Linked DNA regions of Arabidopsis thaliana. The protein of the gene in region 2 purifies or fractionates together with the protein of the main gene of each other region. This does not show direct contact. Each region holds a gene or a part of one and is shown on either strand. Other genes may lie near its edges.

Region 1 (5,190 bases), on a different chromosome or scaffold from region 2:
ACTTCCACTTGCAGCTAGTAAGATACGAGGCTTCCTTGTTACTGTATCCACTTCCATATTCATCTTCTTCTCTATCTGAATCCAGAAGCAGGATCAAATTTTATACAAACAATCTATGAGATTCTCATTTCTCAGAGAGGAATTCAGAATCCGAACATGGATTTTAACGATCATCTTTTGTCAAATCAGAAAGGAAGCGAGAGATCAATGGATTCAAAAGTTTGTGTTAGAGACATTACCTTGTTACAGCCGAGGAAGGAGGATCTGCGAGGAACCCTAATCGGAAATCGAAATCAAATGCCGCGAGGGTCTTTAAGTTTGAAAACAAAACAGAGAAGTCGACGTCATCGCTGGTCAATCTGGTCGTTGACTAATCAAAAATGGGCCTTCCCAACAAGAAACTGAAACAATCCAAAAACCTTATTCTGGTTTTGTGTTCAGTAAGACTATGACCCAGTCACACAAATACGAATGTTAATGTTTCTCAAGTCCCCCTAAATTGTTTTATTAACAATCAACTATGTTTCCCTTGCACCATAACGATTATAGATTCTAATATATAGAAAACTATCAATTATGTTTATTAGACTAGTGTCAGTTTTCAGAATAAGATTTTCAAATTAGTGAAGATATTTGACAGTTTCAGAGATATTTAGGTTTCTACTAAGCTTCTTATAACTCCAAATTCATAAACCTCAAAGGAAAAGAATGTTACAATTCTTGATAACAAAGACGTAGCAAATCAAATTCAGAAGGAAGAGTGAAAGTTTCCCCCATCTCCGAGCTACACATAGACCATTTTAACACTACTGTTTAAACCTCTTCTGGTAGCAAAATCCTAGAAACGTACAAACAAACAACCCTAAAGTGAAAATCAAACATTAACAACCAATCAGTCTTCCTCCAAATGAATGTTTTCTCCTAATTAAATTCCCTAAAACACATACGAAGATTTCTTTCTCGATCATCATTATCCCTTGTAGGATTCAGTCATATCAGTAGCTTTCTTTTACATTCCATCCGCTAACTTCTGGACCTCGTCAATTGCTGTTACTGCTTGTTTCAACTTAGCTGCAGCTTCCTTCACTTTCTTTTGCTGCAACATTTTTCATTTCAGTAACTTATCATCAGATTCTTTCTTTTTAGTTGAAATGAATCCATTTTAATTAACTAATCAAATGACCATTCAATTCCATCTTCTAGGCTATACGACATAATCTAACAATTCTGTTGACTTGCTAGTATCCTTTGTGCTCCACACAACATAATGTCTAAATCAAATTGATGCAGGGATACAGTAATGTTTACGAAAAACCATTATAGAAGCTAAGTGGGGATAGTTCACTTACTAAGAGTGCGGTTCTTTTCTTGAGATCTCCGACGTTTGCAGCTACCGGTGCCACTGAAGTGCTCTTTTGTTCATGCATAGAAAACCCGACTTTGACATAAGTATACACACAGTTGTATAAGCATGGTTATGTCTTACATGAACTCTTGTAGATATTGACTCAAATGAAATGATAATGACTAACCAAATAGATTTCAAGAAATACACCAAATCCAGATACTATACACATCTTTTCAAAATATTACGAATCATTTCAAATTCTGCAGAACCTAAAATTAACCAGATTTGAGACCACCAGAGACAAATAACATACAACTCTAAACTTTTTCCACTATATATGCAGAACAAACAGTCAAGAACAACCGTATAATTGGTATATACCTTTTGTTAAAATTATACATTAAGCATTGTTATGTCTAACATGAACTAAACACTTGTGAAATTTATTTGGACTCAAATTACATGATAACTTCTTACCAAATAGACCAATCACTTTCACTTCCACATTATACAAAAAAAGATTTAATGAAATACACCAAAATCCAGATAAGATGCACATCTTTTCAAAGAAATTACGAATAATATCAGATACTTCACACTCACAATAGACCACATTTGAGACAAATAAAGACATTACTCTGAACTTTATCTACTATATGCAGAAGAAACAGTCAAGAAGAACAATATTAAATAAGACATTTTCCCAAAATACACCAAAATCCAGATAAGATACACATTTTTCTAAAAATACGGGGAATTTCAGATACTGCAATCCTAAAAGTAGACCACATTTGAGACCAGAGTCAAATAAGACATTACCCTGAATTATTTCCACACTATACAGAACAAACAGTCAAGAACAATCATATAATTGGTATCAGACCATTTCTAAATTTCTTTTGACATTTTGTGAATAAAGATAATGAAATTAAAGAGAAACATACCTTCCTAGTCCTGCGCACAGGCTGTGCAGCTACTTCGACAGTAGGTTTCCTTCCACGTCTCTTAGCTGGAGCCACCACAGTTTCTGCTGGAACAGTTGCAGCCGCCACGTCATCTTTCTTTGGCCTCCCTCGTTTTCTAGAACCCTCTCCAGTAGCAGTAGTAACCACAGCCGCCGTTACAGTCGACCTCTTTGCCCTACCACGTTTCTTCACAGCCGCCGCCACAGACGTAGAAGGAACAGCCTGAGCTACGTTTCTTTTCGGACGACCACTTGGTTTAGTACTCGCCTTCGCAGAAACGGCACCGATTTGGGAAGAGTCAGATTTAGCCTTTGGCGGTCGACCACGACCGCGTTTCTGAGAAGCAGTATCAGTAGCTGAGACGCCGGTGGCATCCGTTTGAGGTTTGTTGCCAGACGCATCTCCAGGTGTACCGGATCTTGGAACTTCGGAACCAGACGCGGGAGGAGTAAGAGCTGTTTTCGCCATGAGATCTGTAGATGCGAATCAGAAAAAAAAAAAAAAAAGAGAAAGCAAAATGTGAGAAAACGGCGGTTAATCGGAATCAAAACCCTAGCAAAAACGGACATCAACGGAGACTAGACTTAAACTAAACAACCAGAAACTCGATTTCGCTAAAACCTTAACGAAATTTCAAATGTCACAAACCTAGAATCTAGAAACGAAGACTGTAAAACACAGATTCAGGCTCTCACGCGTAGAGATTTCGTTTTGAGAAAAACTAGGGTTCGCAAATCGCAATGTACGTACCTTGTTCAACTTAATAGAAGGATTCGCGAGATGGTAAAGGAAGCTTGAAGAATCTGGAGGAAGAAGAAAGAAATTACAAAGAGAAACTTGGCGGAGAAGAAAGATAAGAGAGATAGAGATGGTTTTCGCGGTTAGAAGAAGAAGGTCACCACCATGGGCTAGAGCTTGGAAAGAGTAGAAACGAACGACCGAGAGGTTCAGAATCAGTTGCGTCAACCGATATGGGTCCACCTTTACTCCTTGTTTTTATTTTTATTTATCAACATTTCATTTTTCTTTTTAATTCACAGATTTTTAAAATAAATCACGAATATTAATTTTTTGGTATTATAGTATAACATGCAAATGTGGTGGTGATTTCTTTTTAACTTTTTCAAAAAAAAAAGTTGATTTATAAAACCAAAATCGAAAAATACACTACTTTATTTCAAATTCAAAATTTTTTTGGAGAAAAGTATTGAAAACTTGTTAAAAAAGTGTTTATCGAGTAATAAATTTAGAAATTTGGTTAAATGGTGTGTGAGTGAAGAGTAAAACCGTTCTATACCTTCTACCTAATTTCTGCAATAAGTACACTTAAAATTAAAACCGGATTTCAAATTAAAACAGAGCAACTGACATAAGCAACTTTTATTTAATGGTTTTCTAACTACATAACGTAAGAGACTTGAAGAAACCATCATAAAAAGTAGAAGTGGTCATAAAAATTACATAAGCGTTTTTGATAAACATCAACAACAACTCCTAAAAAGCCTAAGGAGACAAAATAGAATAAGAGACACAACAGTCTAAAAAAAACACGAGGGAACAAAGAACAAAGCTGCCTACACAGATATGGACGATGGAGAGAGATGGGAAGCATGAACAATGGTAACATCCTAATTCACTTTACAGACATTACCCTACCTCTCCTTGTTGTTTGGTTAGAGACACAATCATCATCATCAGTTCATCACATTGTTCTTTTTGTTTTTCTCCTGCAAACACCCTTATAAGATTAAAAATTTCATGTAACACACAACAAGTAAACCCACCACTTGCTAGCTTTTTATGTCAAGGCTTTATCTTTAGAACAGAGCTTCTTGCATTGCCTCTGCTTCTGTCTGTCCTTGACCCTCTGCTTCTGGTTCGGTTTCAAGGTGTTCCTCGTCTGGCAGCTGCACTTCTTCCATGTGCTTTGGCTCGTTTGTTGTCTCTGCTATCCCTTCCAGGTCCTGTATGGCTTGAACCACTGCTTGATTTCCACTTCCTCCTATCTCGGATTTCAACACAATTACAATATCCTTAGCTCTCGCTTGCTGCATAAATGAGATATCAAAACCAAGCATAAGCAATTAAGTATCAAAACCAAGGACGGACCATATTGTGTTTCTGTTCATTAGATTACTTACAAACAACTCAAACTTCTTCTTCAGTTCTCCATAGTCACCATCTTGTCGTCCAGAAGCTCCCACTGACACCGCATTCTATGTTTATAAATGGCAATAATATAAATGTAATTAGATAACTAACTCATCAATATAATAGACAAAGAAATTCTAGTGGACTTGGAAATACACAAACTCTTGAACTTTGACTGAATTAACTAAATTTCTGCTTAAAACAGACAAAACTTGATAAGATGTCTGTCTCAAAAGATAAGTTCATATGTAATTCTCACACTTCAACTGAACAATTATTGGTTGCTAAAGCGAGCCACCTACCAAGTTGCTCTTGATTACCAAACAAAGAGATATCTTAGATTAATAGTACACCACAAAACCAGATTAAGTATAGGCCAAAAGCAGAGACACGAATATAAATTAAACTCTAGAATTTATTTAGTTAGATACTCTCTAGTCTCCACACACACGCTCGAAAGAGACAATGTTGAGAATGGAAAGTGACATTTATTCACAAGACAAAAGTTCCAACTTTTATTCTCTTATCTATTTGACTAGAAATATTCAAGTTCTCTATAATCACTGTGTAATCGCAGAGACAAAAAGGAATGATATTTTACCTTTCTGGGTCTTCCTACGGGTTTTCCAGTACGAGCAAAGCTTCTCATCGGCTTCATAGGCTTCCTGATAACACCTCCAATCTTAGGAGGCCGTCCTCTTCCTCGTTTCTTGACTGCAACCTCCT
Region 2 (3,719 bases):
ATGATCACAAATTTTAAATGATTCCAACAGTTTCTTATGAAGTACTTAGATTTTCAATACCAAAATTCTTAGCCTGGTGAAGGAAGCCAAAATATTGTTTTATTTGTATGAATTTTGGTTAAGTCATTATTCTAGAATTGTAATGAAAGAAAAAGAATGATGAGCATATAAAGTAGTGATTAATTAGTGGTTCAATTTGAGACGCGGAAGTAGTTTGTAGTTGGTAGTTGGTAATTTGAAATGTGAAATGTGACTTGCATTTACTTGTTTTTCCTCTTCCAGAAATTTGTGGATTATATTATAAAAGATAATTGGTGAGTATTTAAGGTATATTTTTAGTACAATCAAATACATTATTATTGTAATTGTAAGACCATTGCATTCTGAAATTTTGGATTTTTTTATTGTTAATATTTATATTTATTTAAAGGATTCCTTATAGTACAAGGACCTTAATTAAAAATTGATTTCAGAATAGTAAATGCAGTAATGTGTATAAAAGTTGAAACAGCTTTAAGACATTTTCCATAAAATAGTTGTAGTAGTTTTTACAAGTTTACTATAACTATTTCTTTTAGCAAAAATAAATTATATTTGTAACCTGTTGTGTATATCTTAAGGAAAACTAAGAAAGCTCTACCATTTATAAAAGCCATTTTTTGACAAGATGGAAACCATAAATCAAAGCTCACAATAATCATCATAATCTTTGGAACACCAAGGATTCTTGCAGTTTCATATGAAGATTATACGGAATTGCACTGATTATTTTAGTGTTATTTTAAAATGATAATGATATTTTATATATCATAAATTTGATATAAATGATGATATTTTACAGAATGAAATGTTGTTATACATACTATACCTTAAGAGCATATAACATGATATAATTGCTACATTAGTGTCGGTAGAGGTTTGTGTAGTCAAATTGTGACTATTAAGTACTACACATGTGAGACATTTATCAATCTTGTACGATGTTGCTTGACGGTTTTTGGCTGATAGTATCCAACACCATACATCAACCTTTCACGTCCCAAGCTCTCTAAGACATCGGAGAAGCATCATCACATGCGTACGTAGAAAGGAAACACAAAAGTTAAAGACATTTTGTAATATGTGTAACTATGAGACATATATGAGACTGCATGTGACTATGAGTTATATATGGCTTATAGAGCGATAGTGTTATGGAGATTATATTGCATTCATGCTATGTACTGCATAAGACGAATTCGGTTTCGTGTATTTATTCCCGCTTGAGTCTAGAATTGGTTTCAAGTATAGTTAGAAAAAGACTGTTTTTTTCGTCCTATTATGGTTCGTATACAAAATTATGCATTGAATTGATGTGGCATTCACGTAAAAATCTTCCTGCAGGGCTATAAAACGTATTTTTGGCGTACGATTATAATAAATTTTGTTATTATTCAGATTATTTATTAAATCTTTTTTGTTGTTGACAAACGCATTTATGTTAATGATTATACGAAATATCGAGAAAAACTCCATATAGCACCTCTATCATTCAATTATGTAGTAAGTCATAAAATGTGAACTTTGCTAATTATAATGGCCATAATTAGTAAACGTGATGGGAGAATTGTGATGTTTAGTGTTGGATACACGTGTCTATCAGCTGCACATCGCATTTAATTGGACGGTATTACATATATAGTACACATAATAGCTGACATTTCATCTACAACGAAGATACAAATTTTTAAACGATTTTCTCTTGTCTACTACAGTATAACATCGCTCTAAACATGCTAATTAAAAAAACAAGTTTAATTAACTGCAGATAAATGAATATATATTTTTTAACAGTATAGCTGTATATATATTGACGTATTGGTCTTTGTACATTCTGAAAACTGATACTATTGTTTACATAATTACATATGACTGGAGAAACTAATTATTTTGGTTAGTAGAAGAAACATAACTACATATGACTGGAGAAACTAATTATTTTCGTTAGTAGAAGAAACTAGAAAGAATGCATGAAGTAAATGCAAAACCAACTACTAACAAACCCTACTTAGTCATCATTTTTCCCCCATACGAAATCCCTATATAAACCCATCATCATCTCCCACTTTTCTCACATCCAACAACAAAACACAAGCGTAGAAAACAAAACTCAACTAATTGTGTTATCACCCAAAAGAGAAGAGCAAACACAATGGCTTTCGCTTTGAGGTTCTTCACATGCTTTGTTTTGACAGTGTTCATCGTTGCATCAGTGGATGCAGCAATAACATGTGGCACAGTGGCAAGTAGCTTGAGTCCATGTCTAGGCTACCTATCAAAGGGTGGGGTGGTGCCACCTCCGTGCTGTGCAGGAGTCAAAAAGTTGAACGGTATGGCTCAAACCACACCCGACCGCCAACAAGCATGCAGATGCTTACAGTCCGCTGCAAAAGGGGTTAATCCAAGTCTAGCCTCTGGCCTTCCTGGAAAGTGCGGTGTTAGCATCCCCTATCCCATCTCCACGAGCACCAACTGCGCCACGTAAGTTTTTAATTGAGCAGTACTGCTCATATTCTCTCTAATATTTTTTTTTAACTTGGCTAATTTCTCGATCTTGAGACGATGACTTAATCTTTCTAGTGATGTAATTTATACTCTTGATCGTTTGTATTGTTGCAGCATCAAGTGAAGTGGGGAATAACGACATCATTTGCCTGAAGAGTATGGTTTCGTATACGTAAAATAAGACGGCTATCTAAGCTGATATTTACCTTGTCTTTGTTTGTCTTGATGGCTTTGTAATCTTTTGCTTTGTTATGTTGTATACTTGTGTCTTAACATGTTTAAGATATGATAATATATAGTATCGGTACCTTATTAATCACCTTCTCTTTATAGTTTATATATCTTTCCGCCAACGCACTCATACGTAAAAATCATATAGTGAAGAGTCTTATAACCAATAATATTAAGCTCTTTTTAAACAACAAAAACCATATTATAAGCTCTTAGGTTTGGAGTGAAATTATAATTTTGAGATTGGTAAAGTGTAAACCAAATTCTATATATAAATACGAAGAAAAAATGTTGAATGGTACGGTGTACCTCATCCAATTATTAACTTACCGACGACACGGAATTGATATCACCAGCATAATTGAAAATAAAATTCAAAATATTACTAACAAACAATATTTAATTGATTAGGACAAGTAACAGTGTTGTTAAGTATAATAGAAAATAAATATTAAACATGCATTATTCAATTATTCATAAAACTAAAAGAGATTTCATCGAGTTGATTATGAATCAAGTTACTTTTTACTAAGTAAGTTTTCATTTGGTATGAAGATATGTAAAGTTACTAAGTTTTCATTTACGGATTCATCGCAGACAAATTTTCGTCAAATCTAGTGTACCTAAAACAATTGGCTTTGATCAAGTATACTGCGACTTCAAAGAGAATTATTTTCAAGAATTTGTATTGACATAAGTTATTCGTATATGAATACATAATTTTTTTAATTCCTTTATCAATTAAAATATAAAACAAATCAAATCCCAAATACTCAAAAAGTCAAAAGTTAATTTCGAGTTAGGGCAAAAATAAAATAATGACACCGATCGGATATCCGATTCGTACATCATTATCGCCTCTGTGAATCGGTCGTACTCTCAACCACGGAGGTTTCCGATCCTAGAGAGGAGGATTCTTCAGTTTACGCTCTTGTCTCTTCTTG

What was found.
Region 1: the proteins of LTP4 (region 2) and AT1G48610 fractionate together in Arabidopsis thaliana (co-fractionation; one large-scale study listed by BioGRID). This does not show direct contact.

The regions. Positions count from the first base shown.
Region 1 is NC_003070.9:17,970,018-17,975,207, forward strand, and holds AT1G48610 (AT hook motif-containing protein), read right to left. Parts: upstream 3,386-5,190; 5' UTR 3,064-3,385; intron 2,787-3,063; 5' UTR 2,782-2,786; coding exon 2,293-2,781; intron 1,413-2,292; coding exon 1,350-1,412; coding exon of another isoform or gene 1,305-1,349; exon of another isoform or gene 1,097-1,304; coding exon 1,010-1,096; 3' UTR 594-1,009; downstream 1-593. Other genes in the region: ATHAL3B (Flavoprotein), read right to left, coding at 1-63; HON5 (high mobility group A5), read right to left, coding at 4,131-4,361, 4,455-4,529, 5,066-5,190. UniProt on the Arabidopsis thaliana protein: May bind DNA.
Region 2 is NC_003076.8:23,924,245-23,927,963, reverse strand, and holds LTP4 (lipid transfer protein 4), read left to right. Parts: upstream 1-2,006; 5' UTR 2,007-2,191; coding exon 2,192-2,520; intron 2,521-2,658; coding exon 2,659-2,668; 3' UTR 2,669-2,974; downstream 2,975-3,719.